Linked DNA regions of Astyanax mexicanus. The protein of the gene in region 1 binds, or shares a complex with, the protein of each later gene. Links are inferred from orthologs where the notes say so. Each region holds a gene or a part of one and is shown on either strand. Other genes may lie near its edges.

Region 1 (10,564 bases):
TAAACACGGCTCAACTCCTCTCTCACCTGTGTGTGTTTATGCGACCGGCGCTGGGGCATGATAATGGTGAGGTAGTGTCCGAATTCACTCCTATTTCACCACTACTTAGTGAACACTAATGAGGGAGTAGGGAGCCATTTCGGTCACAGCATAAATTTATCCCTACTATAACTTAACTACAGTCAGATATACCACACTGGTATAGTGGTCCCCTACCATAATGCAGTTAGGTTTGTTGACGGCCCAGATGTTGACCCTGCAGTCCTCTCCTCCAGTAGCCAGCAAGCGGCCTGATCTACCCAACACCAGCGAGGACACTTTACTGGAGTGGGCCACCATGTCCTCTGATCACGACAAAAAAAAAATAAATTAAGCAGATGAAGCTCCAGTAAACTCAAAGTTGTGCAGCTTAAATTTGTGAAGTCATGATTATTATTATGATTATTACATTCTCTCTACTAGCCTGCTGTTTCATATTTAATACAACAATAAAATTAAAATACATTTTTAATTTTCAGTTTTATTAGGAACTACACCAAATCTTAAGGAAAGCCTTGTGCACTTTCTGACAGGTTAACATACAGTATGATTTTTTTTATATATATATATAATTTTATTTCTAATTTTTCCCATTTTCTCCCAGGCCAATTACCCAACCCACTCACTAGGATTCCCCCTATCACTAGTGATGCCCCAACACACCAGGAGGGTGAAGACTAACACATGCTTCTTCCGATACATGTGAAGTCAGACAACGCTTCTTTTTAAGCTGCTGCTGATGCAGCATTACCGAGTAGCATCACAGCGCTAACACGCGGAGGAAAACGCAGCAACTCGGTTCTGATACATCAGCTCACAGACGCCCTGTGCTGCAGACATCACCCTAGGAGTGATGTGGGGATAGAGCGCCATCTACCCACCCGGAGGGAGCAAGGCCAATTGTGCTCCCTCTGAGCACCAGATTCTTGATGGTAAAGCTGCATGAGTGGGGGTTCGAACCTGCGACCTCCTGCTCATAGTGGCAGCGCTTTAGACCACTGGACCACTCGGCGCTCATAACATATAGTATCAATTTAAAACTGAATTTTAAAAGCTATAAAATTAGTATTGAGAAATTCTGATTTATAGGTAGAGATTTGTAAATACCTTTCTTTGTAGCACTTGGAGAATTGTAAAGAATAAACTAAATACATTATTACTGTTCTTGTTATTTACAACATGGATAGTTCATGATAATAGTTAATTATTAGTAACATGTAACAAATAGTTATTAACAATAACCTTAAAAGCACGGACAAAAACAAGCTGACGACCGTGCAATACAGTCATGACTAGTTAACTCCAAATAATCTAAGAATTCATTATTCTCTGCTCAACATGATTCTCATATCAAACTGATGCAATGAATACTACAAAAATGTATTTATTGAAAATTTCTTCAAATATCGTGATATAATATTTTTAGCATTTCCCCTAGCTCTGTCAGCGCGTGACCACATGCAAAGACTTTTATACAGTTCATATCGCTATCTGAATTATATTTTACCAACAAAATAAAAATAACAAATACATTGTGATACAAATGTCTTCCAGCTCTTCTGTCTACCAGTTAAAATGATCTTTAACAGAACACCTGGTTCAAATATATTATATTTTCTCCTAAAAAGAACTGACATATAGCTGTTCTTTTCCAGGGAATGATTAGGATGTTCATTTCTGGAAAAGAGTTTAATTAAAGTACTTACGCAGTTTCCACCACATTTTGGTGACGTCTGAGGCAGCCATAGCATTGATGAGCTTAACCTGAAAAGAGCAGTAAATTCTATCATTACATCATTAAATAATCTAATTGATTGACTCTCTGCAAGTAATTCATCAATTACTGTATGTACAGACAATCTACAGTAAAACTCACAAAACATGACAATGTATAATTACCAATAAATGTTATTTTTAACATGGAGATTAACATAATTAGCAGTATTTATAATTAACTGCTTTTGTTTTGCCAAAGTTAGTAAGCAAACACATTGTTACGACATTGTCGTAGTCACAACACTGGTGTCCAAACATTCCACTTTATGGTTTATGTTTTATTAATAACTCTGTCATGCTAACATGATCACAACCTCATCTTTAGGTAACATCCCAGATAGTTCAAGTATGCACTGCTAAAAATCAATTGGCAAATACTAGACAAAATATATGCAAATTAAGACAAATACATGTATATTAAGCAAAAAAAAATATCTGCCAATGGGGTAAGCAAATTTTCTTAGTAAGATTTCTTACAAAAAGCAATGGCAAAGTCTCAAAATGAGTGAAGTAACACCTAAATCAAGCAAAAAAAGTCTCTGTTTTTGGACACAAGAATTAGAATAACCTGATTGCTGCTTGATTGTGTTTATTTTGAGTTCAAATTACTTAAAATAAGGTACAAATTCTAAGTAAGAATCATTAAGATAATTATCCCTAAAATAAGCAAAATAATCTAACACTTCCATAACAAATCCATGGTTTTCATCTTTAATGAACTGATCTATTAATGCCCATCGATTTATGTTGAATCAACATTAATTAATCATTATAGTTTAATATGTGATGTTTTTCTATTACAATTTATTTACATTTAGTGTGTATGTTGTTTATATTCTATTGTCCTGTGTTTCTGCAGTGCATTTAAGTAATTCTAATTCATAATATTACAATAACAATGATTATTATTTGTGGGGAGCACCTTTTGCTTTCAGAACCCCAACCATTAAAACTCTTTAAATTAACGCTGCTTTAACATCAGATATTTATTGTTGCCTATTAGGCAATGTTAAATAAAGGTTGTTTTAAGGTTGTTTTCATAATCATTATTACACAATATTATAAATAATGTAACCAAAAATAATGTTTATTCAATGTTTTTTTTTTTTTTATCAGTGATTATTCATTGTCATAGGACTACCGGTACATTTTGGCACATTTTCTAAACCTTATATATGTTCCAACACCAACTTTGACAAATTCTGACAAAAAAAACACATAAAGAGTACCAATCAAAAGTTTCTTATTTAGTGCCTTTCTTATTTTTCCCTACAGAGTAAATTAACAATAAAGTGATCCAGACTATGAAAGAACACATAAGGAATCATGTAGTGACTTAAGAGTGTTTAAAAATATAATAAAAATACTCTGTGAAGTATTTAGGTGCTCTTATCTGGGCTTCTGTTAACTTGTGGTTTTTGAGGCTGGTAACTCTAATGAATTTATCCTGTACAACAGAGGAAACTCTCGCTCTTTGTTTACTTGGACGGCCCTGATGAGAGCCAATTTAATCATAACATCTTTGATGATCTTTTTAACAGCACTTGAGAAAACTTTAAAAGACACATTGAAGAACATGAAGCATCATATTGACTGACCTTCTATTTTTAAAGTATTTATTTTCTTTATTTAGTTGAGTAGTTCAGATAATACAGATTAGAACATTACTCAAATATTCACTATTCACTGTATACCTGTAACTCTACCTCTTCACTACTTTACTTTAACTGATGCTCTCAAACACTTTATTAAGAGACAAGAAATTCAAGTAATTAACTCTTAATGATATCTCTGAACTGAAAGCCTGAATTGTTCCAGGTGACTCTACTTTATAAAACTGACTGGGAAAATACAGCCAAGATGTGCAAAGCTGTCATTTATGCAGGAGGTGCTAAAATATCTAAAGAAACTAAAAAAAACAAACATACTCTGGCCTGTTTAACACTTTTTTGTTTACTAAATAATTCCATGTTTTTCTTCATAGTTTGGATGAAGTACTAACGTTTGCCTGGTACTGTAGTTTAGAAAATACAGTTTTACCTTTCTAAATCAGACATTAACACTGTTAACCTACTTTAGTTAAAGTGAGGTAGTGCTAGTTTAAAAGAATCGCTTCAAATAGCCATATATATATATATATTTTTTTTTTTATTTATTTATTTTTTTTTATTATTATTATTAATAGCTAAAATGTGTTCATTTGAAGTAATGTAACATACCAGTCCAAAATCAGGGGGTTTAGAGCCCCTTTAAACAAACACCTTAAATTAGTAGCTAGTGTTTGGCTGTCAGTTGCCCCAATTGGCATTTCAGACATCTATACTGAATATTCTCTATTAATACTCAGGTTTACTCCCAGTACAGCTGGATTATTATGTATTTGAGCACATCCTGTGGTCTGTAAGTAGTTTACTCCGCTGTAAAGTGATTTATCTTTAGGTTAAAACTACAGGCTGTTCGGCCGGGGAGCAGCCTGGAGCTTATTCTCACCAAAACCTGTAACTCACACCTACAGCACCAGCTAACTTAACATTACCAACCTGCGTCCTGTAAACACCCTTGACCCCAAACACACACACCGAGCCACGCGCTGACTAACCCCGGTGTTTACCTATCGCCGCTCCGGTGGGTCCGGCCGGTCGGTAGTCCGGCTGATCGGTTGCTAAACAATATAAACACAAACTGAGCTAATCTACTACTGACACCCAACCAGCCGCTCCGCGTGCCCACCCATAATGCACTGCGCTCACTGCCGGAGCTGAGCTGAGCCGGTGTTGTGTCAAATTGTGCTACCTTGCCAAACAGTGTTACCTTAGTGTATATTTACAGTTAAAAATAAAAAATATCACGTTATTAGAACTTCAACGTCAAAAGTGTATTTAGGATATTTGAATAGATTAAAACCACTGTATTAGGGCACAGATAAGACGATATAGGCGATTAGAAATTGTTTTTTGTTTTTTTAACAAAATTATATTTTTTATTATTAATTACACGTTTGTAAATTACACGTTTGTAACACTCACTAAAATAACAGTCAGTGAGCTCAGGTTGTTTAATAAACCGGAGGAAAACAGAACTACCATGAAAAAACGTTAAAAAAAAAATAATAATAATAATGTGGGACAGCGCATGCGCACTACAGCTAAAAGGCGCTTATCGATGGGAAGCACAACTCGACAGAACACCAGTGTTCAGACACATTTTGCTACTCATCGATATGTGCTTCTTAACGCCATGCGCGTGCACGCAATAAAAAGAAATACAAAAACACGAGAGAATCGCGTCTATTCCGTTTAAACCATATCCTGACATTTTGATTCCGGATTTTAAAATATGAAGCTTTTTCTGGCATTTTACATTTAAATATACACTAGGGTAGCACGGTATGACAGGGAAGCACAACTCGAACACCGGTTTATGAAGAGTCTAACGGAGAGGAGGTTACCCACTTAAGTTACCAATCTATACCGGGATTTCTGTTTTAGGTCAACAGAGGGCGCTCTCGAGTAAGTCCAATATGGAGCAATTGAACAAAATCATTTTTTTAAACTGAAATAAATTACTAATTTCATCAACATATAACAAAATAAAATGTTTAATCACTGCAGGCATATTTTAAAAGCTTCTTAATTCCAGCTATAAACATGCTCTGATTTTAACTTCAGCATCAGCTCACCAACAATCAGCTCAGATTAGCAGTCACTTTTTTATGAAAACTGGAATCATTTTATTTTAGTTGGTCAACTACTTGAATCAAATAGTAGACCATACAGTTATATTGACCTAATTAATAAATACAAAATTGACAAATACTCTACAGTGATAATACTCTACAGTGATAAATGCTATACCAGTTGGTGCAAATTTACTGCTGAGAGGCGTAAACTTTCCTTGTCACTCACTTGATTTACTGGATACTTATATTGGGAGTATGCTTTCAGCTAAACACCAGCAAAATAATAAGCTGATAAGATAATTATTTCAGAAAGACATTGCTACAATTCCTTAAGTAATATCATTTTGGAATAGTATTGTAGAGTGTATAGTGTGGTCTTTACCTTTAAAATATTTAATTTCTAACAAAGTGAGAGAAATTAGGCTGAAATTAATATATAACATTTTCTTTTAAAGATTTTCTTTTAAAATATAAGTGTGATATGGAAACTGACTGCTAATTTTGTAAACGTGCTTCTGAAGATGTTACTTACTCTTGTTGCTTGCTATGGATATTTCATATCCATAAATGATATGTAAAAAAAAGTTTGGGAGAAGGACCACACCCAAACTCCACGCTCTAACTACACCTCTTATCAATAAACCACCCTATAAATACCTGCTCTAACTACCTACTTTTCGTGACGAAAGTTTGCATCCCACCTCCGCCCCAACAACCTCCTGGTTGCTCATTATCAGCCTTTGTCTCAGCTTCTGTAGCAGTTACATCTTGTACCTTAGTTTCCTTCCTCTGTCTCTGCTGGGTCAGTGTCCAGTAGCAGGTTGGAAGCATCTGATGCCTCATCCATAATGTGAGAGGCCTGATCTTCCTGAGGGCAGTGAACTCCTCCATCTTCCACCAGTGTTTGGCAGCTTCTGATGCCTCATCCACAATGAGAGTGGCCTGGTCTTCCTTTTGGGGGCAGTGAACTCCTCCGTCTTCCACCACCAACTACATCACAATCGCGCAGAGTACAGGCCCCACTATCACCTCAGCTTCAGCCAGGTTGTTATGGTTGTTTTTTATGTAAACCTTTTTTATTTATTTATTTTATTTAAGGGTATTTTTGTTTGTTTTTTGTGGTTGATTTTTTATGTAATATTATTTTTGCTTGTTTTCTCATATGTAATTATTTTTGAGGTTGTTTTTTAATTTTTTTCTGGAGTGTGCTACTGTACTTCACATACAAGACTTCAAAAGGACTAAAAGACCTAAAAAAGACCCCTTACACTGAAATTTTGATTTATGCAGATTTATTTCTAATTTGCGTTGACACAAAACCACTTAATCCTACACTGTCCTACTTATACAGCCTCTTTCCTCGTTTTTCTAGTCTTCCTCGTCTTCGTAGTCTTCCTAGTCTTCGTAGTTTTTGTGATCTTCCTCGTCTCCCTCGTCTCTTCTCCTTCTTTTTGTATTCAGCTTCGGGTCTGCATTCAGCCTCCGTCTCGGCTTCCTTAGTCTCTGCTGGGTCAGTGCCCAGTAGCAGGCTGGGAGCTTCTGGTGCCTCATCCATGATGAGAGTGGCCTGATCTTCCTCTTGTGGGCAGTCAACTCCTCCATCTTCCACCAGTGTTTCCACCACACTCTCACAAAGCTCTGTATTAAGGGTCACCTCAGCTTCTTCTGACTTTGTTAATTCAGTGACCTGTAGCAGGCTGAGAGCTTCTGGTGCCTCATCCATGATGAGAGTGGCCTGATCTTCCTCTTGTGGGCAGTCAACTCCTCCATCTTCCACCAGTGTTTCCACCACACTCTCACAAAGCTCTGTATTAAGGGTCACCACAGCTTCTTCTGACTCTGTTAAGTCAGTGACCTGTAGCAGGCTGGCAGCTTCTAATGCCCCATCCATGATGAGAGTGGCCTGATCTTCTTCCTTGGTGCAGTCAACTCCTCCATCTTCCTCCATCAACTCCATCACAGTCTCGGAGAGTACAGGTTCAACCATCGGCTCAGCCTGCCTCTCCTCCACCGTTTCAGGGTCTCCTTCCAATGGAGTGACTGTAGTCTCCTCCGTTGTCGTCGGCTTCTGTGTTCTGGATCGGTACAGGTAGTAAAGCGATCCACCGGCAGTTATAGCTAGAGCTGCAATGCTGGCTGCTCCTAGTATCCCTCGAACTGCACACATCTTGTCGCTGCGAAAATCCGTTGACGACTGAAGTTTTTCGTGCTGCTGCGCCTTTTATAGTGTTCGAACAGTGACCTCATATTTATATCCACAGCAGTAAACTAAACTGTGATGTCATTGACATGAATGTTCCAAAGTTGGCAATAAGCCAACAAACAATAAATAAAAAAAACACATCCAAGTCCAAAATCTGATTAAAAATATCTACCAACTTTTTTTTTATTGTAATCTTTTATTTTTTTGTTTTTAATATGTAAATATTTATGTGGTTATTTTTTTGATGGTTTGATGGTTTTTTTATGGTTGTTTTTTATGTAAACTTTTTTTGGTCGTTTTTTAATATTTATTTTTTGAGGATTTTTTTTGCGGGTAGTTGTTTTATGGATGATTTTTAATGTAATCTTCTTATCAAATATTTTTTAATATTTGATTATTTTGTGGGTTTTGTTTTTTGTTTGTTTGTTTTTTTTTATGGTTGTTTTTTAAGGTAGTAGACTGATGCCAACTATGTTTTTTCGCTTTTTAAAATTTTATTATTTTTTTTTTGTGGTTGCTAAAACTATCCGGTTTATTTGTATTTTTCATAATTTAATGCATTTTTTTTTTGTTTAGATTTTTTTTGGAATCTTTTTATTTTTTAATTTCAATTATTATTATTTTTAAAAAAAGCTTCAAATCTTTTTAACATAAAGAGGACAAATCCGTTTCCATGTTGATTAGAATAAAAAAATAGATTGAATATTTTTATAGGTGATAAAAACTAAACAACAAACTGTGCTGAATTCCTCACTACTGCTGTAACGCGTTTTACTTCACACATGACAACAGTTTAGTTTTAACTATGTATAACTATGAATAAATAAAATTTAAATAAAACAAAAGAAATGCTTTTCCCAGCTAACTAAAAAAGGGTCGCCAAAAAGTTGCAAGGGACGTTCTTATTGAACGTTTGTAGGACCACCAATAAACATTTAGAAGACTATTATGCGACGTTAAAACAAACCTATTTAAACGTCTTTTATGGTCTTCCGTCCTTTAAACATCTCTAATAATGCTAAATTAAATTCTATCGTTTATTAGATTGTGGCATATAATAAACACAAGTAGATGCTGCAATCTGCTGTTTTTTATTAAATATGAAAATACATATTTCTCGTGTATTGCGATCAATGATTTTCACGCTTGTCCCAGCGCTGTTTCAGTGCTCCTCTTGGGGTGAAAGAGTCTAAAGATTCTAAAAAAATTTTAACATTCAATGTGTTAATCTCCAGCGAGTCAATTCAAGACCGTTTTTTATTCATTTGTAGTTTAATTATACACGTATATAAGCTTACCTGAGATTAATAAATCTATCTACAGCGCTGTAAAAGCGCAAAAGTCCCCTGATCTCCCAGAGTTCTGAATCCGGTCTAAACAACGCTGCGTCTTCGTACAGGGAGGCTGTTACTGGTAATGATCGCTAGATTGCGCTTCTTTAACGTGTCATTCCGATCTAAGGGATTATATTATATATTTAAGGGATAAGGGATTATATTTACTCATAAAACTTCTAACAGGCGTGAGCTGTGCTCTATGCCTGAAATATATTTTAGTTTTAGTTTAACAGTATAATAACACAAGTATCCTACATTTAAAATGGTAAAACGTTGCACGAAGTAACTTTAAAATGCGTTTTATTTTTAAGCACAGTGTCTGCGTTAACCTAATTGCAAAAGTAAGATATGAAATTAAACATAGAACACTAAAAACTAAGCATTTGTTACCTGTCCCCTCTCTATCTATAAATTATACCATGAAATATTATTAAAATCCTTCAGACAAGTAATTTTTTGAATTGTGCATTTTTGTGTGAATGCAAATTTTAAAAAATCATAATAAATCCATAATAAATAAGTTAAAATACACATTTTAGTTGTGTTACCGGAACACATTACCCCATCTAAACAATCTGGAACATTCTACAAGTCACATCTACAACAGGAGGTCAACTCAGTTGGTTCTTCTGAAGATCATGAGAAGAACAACATTAAGTTCCCTTATTTGTTTTTCAGTATATTTGATCTAATTGACTATGACTAAGAAGGTCTATGTCACTGCTCTTACCTAAATTAATTCTTTAATATTACTTGTTTATTTTTAAAATAGAAATTAGCATAGCCACCATTTCGCTATTTTTCATGTTTTTGCTAATTCTATGCTAAAAACTAAAAAGTCATGTTACTTTCAGTCCTGTACTTTTAACATAATAACAAGACTGAGTGCCAATAACAGGAGTGAGTTCCAGTGATAGGAATGAATGCCAGTAACAGAAGTTATTTTCAACAAAAATATCAGGTAAAGAGGTATTATTTTATAAATATACAGCTTTTACAATGTAAAAGGAAATAAAGATAATACATAATTAATGCAATGTGTGACAGTAGAGCTGCTTTAAATCTGTAACACTATATCAAATCAAGTCTAATACAATGTTTAAGATGTTTAGTGAATAGGCAGTTCTTATAATAATTTGTATCAATTTGATCATTTATTCCAACAGTGGCGTGCACAGACATTTTGGGGGGCAAGTGCACACACACACACACACACACACAAACACACACAGCTTATCCAGTCCATGTAGAAAAATGTTGCCAATAGAATAAGACTCTCTGGGTGTGTGTGTGCGTGCGTGTGTGTGTGTGTGAAGCACTACTATAACAGGCTGTGTGTGTGTGTGTGTGTGTGTGTGAAGCAGTACTATAACAGGCTGTGTGTGTGTGTGTGCCTAAACTACTACTGCCTAAAACCTGTTTACTAGAGAAAAATTAATATATGTAGGTAATTTGTCTTTTTTTAAGCCATTTTGTTTGTTTTTGTTTTAGTTTTAGCCATTAAACTCAAATTACCCCCATTTATTAAGG
Region 2 (10,251 bases), on another chromosome or scaffold:
TCAGCCAGTCTGGAGCGTTTTTTTTTACACGTTTTTTTTAAGTTCATCTGTGTAGGAAAAGGTTTTAAAAACGGATAATACAGCTCTCTACAGTTCACCTATCAGCCAAAGCAGCTAACAGCAGCAGTTGTCACGGAGGCACTGCTCGGATTACATTATAAACAGGTCAGTTAGCGCGCTGCTAACCTCATGATGTTTATAACTACGGAGTTTAGTGGACACACCACGGCTGCAAGGTTAGACTGTTGAAGGCTACTGAAGACTATTAAAGGCTATTGGAGGTTATTGAAAGGGTTATTGGAGCAGAAATCAGTAAAGGCTGCTTAGATAAGTGATTCACCTCCTCGTCCTTTACTGCGGTGAAACTGCGACTAGCGCTGTCACAGTGATGTTTATTTAACGTCATTAAAACTGATTTTGTCAGGTATTGTCTTATAAATATTTACACAGAACTTATATCTCTCCTAAAAAGCATTTATTTTGGTCAGTAACATTCATGTTTATTTACTAGCAGCGTAAATTACCAGTGTTTGCTTTGGTGTGGATGTAATTAGGGGAATCTGTACCAGCCAGGTTTGCCAGGCACCTGTGTGGCATTAATGTGGCATTTGGCCCCGCCCAAGATCGGTATCGGCGCTCGGCCCATCGTGGTGAAAGACGACCGGCGATCGGAATCGGCCCCAAAAACACTGATCCGTTCAGGAGGTGTAAAAAAGGAGGTGAATAACTCCACTTAATTTTCACTGTGACAGCTGTCACTCTAGGTGAAAATCAAGATCAGGTGAAAATCTAGGTGAAATGAAGATCAGGTGGAAAACACAATTTTAGTTCAGTGATCAGGGTTAAGAAACTGCTTTAAACTACAAACATAAAGTACTGTACTAAATTCTGACTATCCACTACATCTGGCTTCTAGCTAATTAGCTATATTCATTTTCTCCTGTAATCCTAAACTAATAACGACAGTGAAATATGTGAAATAGTGATTAGCTGATCAGGTACAGGGCAAGTTGAACATTACATATATAGTTTATTTATTTTCTAAAACCTTGACTCCCTATCTAGCTAATTCCAAACTCAAGCTAACTCACTAACACAGCTGCAGTTTATTAATCACAGTGGGTTTAATCTGTGTGCTGATACAAGAAGTGTATTTTTAACCAGCTATCAGAAACATATCATCACAGTTTACGTGTTTAGCCTACCGTTATCTTTTTTTGAGAAAAATCTCCGTATATCCAGATCTGTTTTTAAATCAGCTGAAGCTGCTGCGTCCGATCCCGCTGCTAAATCTCACAGCAAGGGAGGGGCTTCCTCCGCGCGCCGCAAAAACAGCAAGCTGATTGGCTGTTTCTACTGAGAGGCGGGACTTAATACCTGAACCGGCTCTACTTATTTATTTATTTATTTTATTTATATATATATTTTTTTTATAGAGCCACGCTGCGCCGGAACGCTATCACCCCTGTAAATAAGCCATGTCACTGACTTAAAGTCATAGATAAAATGGCATGACTTCACTCAGCATTAGTGATATATCCATCACATAGCTGTCCTTAGTTTTCAAAATGATGAAAAATAACCTGTCATTCTATGGGTATACCTATGTTCCACCTGGGCAGGCATAAAATCATCCTCTTGGCTGAAACTGCTCGGCTTTGACGGGGCAGCCTCCAACTGGAAACTCTCCAGTGTCCTCATGATGTCCCTCACGTGCTTTCTTTCCTCGCTGATCTCTTGCCATACCTGAACACAGGACACAAACAAGCTCAAAACAATCAGACTATTTACACATCAAACCACTTGCCTCACCTTTATACTAATGTTTGCATGAATGTGGAACACAATGGCAGTTCAAACAGCAACTCTTGCCTCTGGGCAATTAGTAATGACAGTTCCAGTAACTCCAGGGGTTACCATACCAGTGTCCCGGGAGGCTGTAGTCTTACCTGTTGCCATTTCTGCTGTAAAGAAGAGTCTCGCACTGAATATAAGTATTTCTTGATCTGCTCCAGCACTCCCTCGTAGCAAACCACAGCCGAGCTGTAGTTACCCAGCAGGGCGTACTCTCTGGCCAGCTTTACATTCTCGCTGATCTCTACAAGACTCATTCTGGAAGAGGACACAGTGAAATTACCTCCCATAACCAGAACATAATAGCTAGTACTGAAAGAAACTCAAATCAAATAAAAAAGACAAATAGGTCAGTAAGGCTAGTCTCTCTGTAACTGCTGAACATTTCACAACTTAAACCATAAGAACTCAGACCCATTTATGATTACTGATCAGATAAATCCAGCAGGCAACCCATTCATGATTTTTTCCTATTGTGGGCACATGACTAAATATTTTTAAATAAAAATCCTGACAACACCAATTTTAAAACTGGCATTTTAACATCGTACTTTAGTAGTTGTACACTTTTAAAGTGAAAACTGTCCTGTGATCCTCTTAAGATTTCTGGTATGTTTCACTAAGATTTCATCAGTTAAAATGACAAATAAAGTGCTGTAAGAAATTTTACACTAAGGCTGTCAACATTAACGAGTTACCTGATGTAATTAACCTGTACGACAGCGTGTTAGGGCAACTCTTGATCTTTAATCCTGTAATATTACGACTTTAATCTCGAAGTGGACTGTTTTTATGTTTTTTTTTTTGAGTGGTTCAAATCTTGAATTATTATTTTTTATTTTTTAAACACAATTTAATCTTGTGACAATATTGACAGAGCCTGGTGACGCATAAGACATTAAACAGCAACGCGTACTGTTAAGTTCAGAAGGTATATTGCCTTTTATTTTTACTGAAGTGTATGCTTACACACATTTTCTCTTTTCAAGCTGTTAAAAAACTCTGTAACTCGACACATTATAATATTCTAGTTAAAGGGCATCAAAACTAACCTGAGAATTATATAATAATGTAAAGAAAAAGTGTAAACCACACTACACCATTATTACTAACCCTTTCCAAAAAATACAGTATCTTAAGTACCATCATGATTTTATCCATGATTTAGTCAAAGAATATTGTTGGGATTATTTTTTTTAAGAGCTTGGCACCAATACTACAAATGTGTTTCTATCACTGATTATTTTATACACATTTAAGGTAATTAAGGTACCCATTATCAAACGCATAGTCTTAAGGAAGAAAAAGTGTGATTAATCACATAATTCTATTGTGATTAACTGGATAATTGGACATTGAATAAAAAAAAACACCACTAATTTAAGTACACAGCTGTAGAAGGGTCTGTGACACACGTCTCGATGGCCTATTTTGGGTTAGTGTGTATTAACTCTTATTTTTATAAAACTGAGGTTTTTTTTTTTTTTACTTTTTATTTAGATTAGGTTAGCTACCGCTAGCTAGTAAGTTTACTAATTGGCAAACACGATAAATATCAATAAAAAAAGCTTAAATAAGATTAACTAATGCTAACTATGGGTAATTATCTAAGTTAACTAATGTTATGTGATTTTTTTTTCCAACAGACTCTACGGCTGGTAGCGTTAGCTAAACTTACCTAACAAACCCAGCTAAGCTAATCAACTAGCTAGCTAACCTAACTAACTAGCATAGCGATAGTTAGCTTAGCTAATAGTTTGAAGACTGTTAAACTGATGTAGCTAGCGTTTACTAATTAACTGAGCTAGTCAACAAGGTTAACTAACTTAATTTAGTTAAGTTAATTAGTAGCTAAGTTAACCTAGTTAACTAGCTACATTAGCATAACCTTTAGCATAGCAAACTATTATGGCTGCCAACATAAGTTAATGCTAATGCGACAAAAACACGTAGGTTAGTCAACCTAGTTACAGCCAGACTGCAAGAGAGTCAATACAAATAAACCAAACACAAAAACACGGTACAATACAATTCGCTCGCTTACCTTTCGGTTAACGAAGAGAAAGTTACTGTCTAAGTCTGTACTGACGGTAAAATAGCCCAGTAATTTAAGATTAACTTCACAAATTCAAGAAAATCCACGACAAACACCCAAAAACTGATAAAACTCCCCGTTTAACTCTCTTACAGCGCTATAGTTCTCTATTAGCTACACTAGTTGTAACACACCGGCTCCACTCAGACTGGAGCAGTCAATCGTTGGTTGAGCAGGTTATCAAAATCATGTAAGTTATATAAAGTTTAGTTCAGTATGATCGAGCTGAAATAACTCACTTGTCTCAGCGCTGAACAGAAGCAGCCTGTAAAAAAACAAACCACTGCGAACAATCCACCTCCAGCACGAACTTCAGCATCTGAGAGAGAGAGATTAGTCACTGAAGTTCAGAATAAATCTACAGACACTTGTTGGCAGAGTTTCGGAGGAAGGTAAACCCGGGAGAGAATCTCTGGAGAGGAGAAAACACACTGAGCTAAGAGTCTCTGCTGGAATTGTAGAGCCACCAGGGGGCGCTCACGAGTGAGACCAAAATTAATGGGTTTATATGGAGAAACGGAGCAAAATCAGAGTTTATAAATGTTTAAGTATTTGTATCATGAAAAATGTTCTCATTTCCCCAACACAGAACATTATCAAATGTTTCAGTACTGCAGAGATATTCTTTAAAGCGTTTAACATATTAACGTGCCTTGACCTGTATACGGGCTACAGGTGGAGATGATAGAAATCCCTTATTTTCTGCAGTAAAATAAGTTTTTTTTACACTCTGAAAATTTGAGGGCTTTGAAATCTCGTACAAGGCACTTGCAGAAGCTGCTGTTTTCTCTCTTCAGGATTTCAGCCAATTTTATGATTTTATTAATTGTATTTTGACATTAGCAGGTTTGCTTAAATATATTTTTTATATTTTCTATTACAATTACAATTCTGCTTTTCCGTAATGTTTCTTATCAAACATGAAAGCTTTTTATGTAATGCTTAAATAGAAATCCCCAAGATTTAGAGGTGTAATGTCAGGCAGACAATTGACAAAAATCCTGGCCTGTTAAAAGGGTAAAACTCCAGTTATTAAGCTTTTAAACTCAGAGATCTGACTGTAAATCCAGTATCAGTTCACCAACCACTCAGCGCACAATAGCAAAAATGAGCGCCTAAACTACCTAAAACCTGTTTACTGAAAAAAGTAAAATATGTTGGTATGTTTCTTTTCATTTATTTTTAGGAAAATACATTATTATACTTTTAACAATTAAAGGAATATTCAGAGAAAGTAGTTTTACTATTTTAATTAGTTTTATCCCTTTAGCTCCATTCAACCCCATCCAGTGTGGCCTCACTCGCGGGCTCCCTCTAGCGGTTCTTAGTAATGTTCTGATACAGCGGTAGAGATGGGAAGTGGACAGGCTCCCTATAAACCAGCTCTAAATCCGCCCCAGTTCACATCTACACCAGCAGGGTGAGTACAGCAGCTGCTGTTTGAATTATCTTCAAAATAAAAGTCTCTACACTGGGGCTGCGTCCAGTAACTTTTGTTACTCCTCCTCTCCTACCCCGAAAGAAGGTGAAGGAATAGAGGAGGAGGAGGAAGAATGGAGAGAAGTAGCAGTAATTGAGAAAATGGGACAGCTGATGCCTTTTAATAGAATGTTGACTACTTATTAACTGAGCCAATCACAGCGCTCATTTTCAACTCCCCTAACACTGCCCAGCCAATCTCAGCATATGATATATGGTCATCCTGTTAAATGTGGATGTGTAAACTCCAGTTCATTGCAGAGAAAATTCTATATTTCTGAAATTATGTGAAATATTTGCCAATCAAATAAAAGAGAAAGCCTTATTTTTTTATTTCTTAAATTTTATTTCATTTTATCTATTTTTTTATTTGTTCATAGATGATGATACATGTTCAACAATTACACAAGTGTTTTTAAGTATTATTTCGACACATACATATGTCAAAAAATAAATGAATTAATAAGTAATTAATTTGATTTAAAAATCTGTGCTCAGGTGCTTTGTGGGCGAGGCCTCAAAGATGTAAGAGAGTTTTTCCTTGCCACTGTTGTCACCACAATTCTTTTGGCATTTCTGTGGTGCTCGCTCATAAGAGGTGTGGACCTGTTTTTTTCTCTGTGAAGCTGCTTTGTGACAACTTCTATATAAATAAAACTGAATTGAATTGAAATTAAAGCCAACCCAAAATCTATAAAACATTTCCTGGGTAGCATACTGTGGTGTTATTGGCTTCTTTCTTCTCCTCTGGTATTTAGACAGGTGGCAAGATGGCATCATGAAATCAGTTTCTGGGTCACAGAGGAGAGGAGGGGGAACGGAAGTACAAAAGAGCAACTGTTTGGGGGGTTCTGGATGCAGCCTCAGACTCCTGAACACCGCTCTCACACATACATTTCATACAAAGTGTATTTGTACTCACCTACATTTTCGCTCATATGAACTTGTGTGACAACCCATTATTAATCCATAGGGTTTAATATGATGTTTCAGCTCTGCTGTTGATGTTTTAGGCTTCAACTCTCCTGGGAAGGCTTTCCACCAGTTTTAGGAGTGTGTGAAATTTTGATGTCAAGATATGTCAACCCCCCACCCCAGTGATCCCGGGGGCCCCACGCAATTGCGTGGTGGTAAAATCTGCCCCTGGGTGTAGCAGCATTAACACAGTTTAACACAATGGGTTATATGGGATTAAGTTAAATGTGTTTTTAACTAAGTTCTCTTTGTCTAATTTTGGGACATAAGTGAAAATCTTATGATGTTTTAGGTCTTATGTATGCATAAATTAAAAAAAAATCTAATCACTAAGGGTTAGTGATTTTCTGTTCAGTTCTCCTCAGAGAGGGCAGTTAGTTCATTAGTTGGATCAGCTGTGTGTAATATGCTGTTAGTGTTGCCAACTCCTCAGTAAGGAAAGTAGCTATTGGCTGTCCTAGTTGCAGGAAGTCGCTAAATGACGCCATCGCCTAATTTGCATAATATATGTTTTTGAAGCTGTAAAGGATTAACGTTGTGGGACAAAACAAATGAGTGAAACACCTTAAAATATGTTAGAAATGTTACACATGAACTCTAACAAATAAACAACTTCTGTTGCTTTTTTTTTAAATAGGCAGTCACATCTCAAAATAACTTAATTTTTACGTAAAAAAAAAAATATTTTTTTTGCCATGTTAAATGTTATTATAAGAGCAGCAGTTAGCCGAAACTGTTATTCTACTTAATTTTTTTTATTTTTTTTTATTCAGGGTTTTGTTTTATTTTTTTTTAAGTTTTCTTTATTTTTAAATGTATTCTAGACAAATTGTTCAATGATAAGCTATGTGGCTAGATGTTTAGGCAGACACTGTGGACGAGGTGAGTGACTAAGACTGTGTGTGTGTGTGTGTGTGTGACCACTTTTACAATTTACAGTTTTTTTTTGTTTTGTTTTTTTTTATAAAAATTAAGAATTTACTTTATTTCACTTTTATAAGTGCTACTGTAATGTAGGGCTGCAACCAATGATTATTTTGGTAGTCGACTAATCTGATGACCATTTTATCGATTAGTCAATTAGTCAACGATTATTTCTGCCATGTCCTCCATCTCTAAAAACAACAGAGAAACAGCTAAACATGAGATTTAAAAGGCATTTAAATGTCCACATGTTGTTTAAGCGTGGAGAGTACTGATATTTAGTTAATAAATATGTAATCTGTTGTGTTTGGGCACTTTTGGAAACACGGACCAAGTTCCTTTTGTCCCCAGTACGTTGTGTGATGCGGTTCTGTTACAAATGAATGATTAGACGACAATGACATTTGTAGTCTACAAATTTAAATAATCGATATTGTCGATTATATCGACTAATCGTTACAGACCTATTGTAATGTACCCTCGCCCAAATCTTTGTGGACGTCCATTCTAATGACTAAACGTCACAGATTGGGCATTCCAAGTTGCAAAAATTAATTTCAGGGAGGTACCCCCGGACCAATTTGGGATTATCTGTCTATATTATATATAATATAATATAGGGATTATCTATCTATAAAATATAAATCTTGGTTTTGTATGTGCTTCATGAATATGCACACAAGGGGAGCTCCTTTCTCTCCCTCTCCCTCTCTTTTAGACACAATACAAGAAGTGATACAAGAATAGACCACTGAAGTCGTGTTGTCATTTTGTAGTCTGCGCCAGGTTGGGGTTTCAGTGTCTAAGCGGTTCAGGTCAATGAAAAAAATGAATATTTTAAACACTGTGGTAAATAAATATGTTCAGAACCCTGTACGTTTTATTCTGTATATATGTACATCTTGAACAACACTGGATCCTCTGAATTTTGAGATTGTTTAGGGGTAATAATTAGAAAAATGCTAGCTTTAAGCTAATGCGTAACGTCACAGCACAGCGGCAGACAATGGCTGCAGGCTCAATTCTGCACTACACCAGCTAACTCCGGCCAGATTGCGTTTTGGATTAATATTTTTTCTTACACAGGATCATTAAAGTATTTAAACAGGTGAAAACTCTCTCAGTAATAGTGAGCAGTGTAATGTTAAGCAGTGTAGTCTGTGTTAGAGCTTTAAAAGGCAGATAATAAGCAGCGCTTCCTTGCAGATTTAATATTTAATTACGGTCATTGGTTTATTCTAATTACAACACACCTGACCCAAATAATCAACTAATCAACTAACTATCTGCCCTCGCTGAGGGGAGCTTTGTGATGCAGCAGTTACTTCAGAATCACAAAGCTAGAACCATAGAGTCTAAAATACTTAATGTTAAAAGGCTTAATGTGTGTGTTTTTCCACTGAAACCTATTATATAACCACAAATCCTAACAAGGATTAATGTGCTAAAACAACGAACCAGAAAGACTAAACATCTCTAATTTATTTCACAGCATAATAAAGACTGTAAATATTAAAACGTGGTACAGTGTTTAAAGCTGGTTCTGGGGTAATTCTGTGCTGTTGGGTTAGTGATTTTCTGCTGTGGCACTTTTAGCTCTCCTCAGTGAGGGCAGTTAGTTCATTAGTTGGATCAGCTGACTGTAACATGCTGTAAACATTCGTCCGGAGTTCACTGGTGTTGTGCCGAAGAGAGTCCCCTTCCGATCTCTGCAGCTGTGAGGTCAGTTCACGCCACTGTAGCATTAGCTTAAAGCTAGAATTTTCCTCTTTACGACTCTTAAACAATCTTGTTGGATGATAACCAGTCCATCGTATCTCACATCATCTTAAAAGTATTGGATGAACACCATCATTCCAGAGAACACAGTTCCACTGCTCCACAGCTTAATACTGGGGCTTTATACACTATTACAAGGGGTGTCCACTGAAGGGTGTGATTAGAGATAACCACACCTTCACACTCTTATTCTTAAATGTTTAATTAAATGTTGATTTATATTAACAGTTATTATTTTTACTGTTCACTTTATAATTCACTTAATAACCTTATGATCTTTGCTCTCTTTTTAACTGTCACAATGACACAAGGCTTTGGAGGTTGTTTTTACTTTTTCAGGAATCAGGAAGGTCAGAGTGTTTTCATCAACAATGAGAGCTGTGAGGAGAACGTGACCCTGAGTGGCTGAGAAGCTTCACTGCTGTTCTGGGACCAGTGCATATGAACTAGGAGACAACAAGCTCTCTGAGTGAAGTGCTGGGAACCTCTCCTCAGATAGCCAGCGCATGCCTGTTCTACACGACGTAAAGTCGCACACAGGCCAGAAGATCTTTCCATCCACTCTTTTCCTCTGTTTCATCTTCTCACAGACTTTAGGACACTTAAGGACTGTCTGCTGTGTTCATGAAAGACAGTGCTGAACAACATCATGATAAGAACTTGTTGCTCAGACAGGCTGGAGCGGATCACGTCATTAAAACTGGACAACAAACTGTTAACTGGACTCTGCTGACGTAATCATATTGATAAGTTCTGTCCAATCACGTCATTTGCATAAATGTATAACTGCTTGGATGAAGTCTGAGGAGTTCTCTCTGGCCCTCGACTGGCTTTAGTTTCTTTTCTCTCTCTTTCTCTCTCTTTCTTTTTTTCTCTCTCTCTCTCTCTCTCTCTCTGGGTTGTGAATGTGTTGATCTATCGAGGTTTTTGACTCGTTGATTTACTTTTACTCTTTACTAATATATATCTAGTAATTTTTGTTCCTTTTATATATCTGTAATGCTGAAACTATTTTTCAAGTAAACTTTAATATATTTTAAATTCTAAGCTCTGACTCATTGGTCATCATTTCATGTTCTGAGATTTCTCACATCCGAGTTTTATCTAAGTCGTGCTGTGGTAAATTACCCTACACCACAAACACT

The links.
Region 2: the proteins of katnb1 (region 1) and katna1 are in contact, whole or in part, in a crystal structure (PDB 5OW5), measured with the Mus musculus proteins. The link is inferred for Astyanax mexicanus from reciprocal best matches to the Homo sapiens genes KATNB1 and KATNA1. Residues at the interface, in NP_083081.2 of Mus musculus: Leu485, Val486, Asp487, Glu488, Ala490, Met491, Gln493, Ile494, Arg495, Gly497, His498, Met501, Phe502, Val504, Leu505, Thr506, Arg508, His509, Leu512, Asp513, Val515, Arg516, Trp519, Thr521, Asp542, Leu543, Ile546, Gln549, Lys550, Leu553; in NP_035965.2 of Mus musculus: Leu5, Gln6, Ile8, Val9, Val12, Arg16, Ala19, Leu20, Leu21, Gly22, Tyr24, Tyr31, Tyr41, Leu50, Lys53, Trp54, Gln56, Val57, Glu60, Ile61, Val63, Glu64, Gln67, Val68, Asp70, Ile71, Thr74, Leu75, Ser77, Phe78.

What each region holds. Positions count from the first base shown.
Region 1 is NC_064423.1:1,802,179-1,812,742, reverse strand, and holds the start of katnb1 (katanin p80 WD40 repeat-containing subunit B1), read right to left. Parts: upstream 4,545-10,564; 5' UTR 4,427-4,544; exon of another isoform or gene 4,415-4,426; intron 1,804-4,414; 5' UTR 1,786-1,803; coding exon 1,746-1,785; intron 345-1,745; coding exon 217-344; intron 1-216.
Region 2 is NC_064408.1:47,390,204-47,400,454, forward strand, and holds the start of katna1 (katanin p60 ATPase-containing subunit A1), read right to left. Parts: upstream 4,383-10,251; 5' UTR 4,189-4,382; intron 4,150-4,188; exon of another isoform or gene 3,899-4,149; intron 2,113-3,898; 5' UTR 2,112-2,112; coding exon 1,950-2,111; intron 1,747-1,949; coding exon 1,604-1,746; intron 1-1,603. UniProt on the Homo sapiens protein: Catalytic subunit of a complex which severs microtubules in an ATP-dependent manner. Microtubule severing may promote rapid reorganization of cellular microtubule arrays and the release of microtubules from the centrosome following nucleation.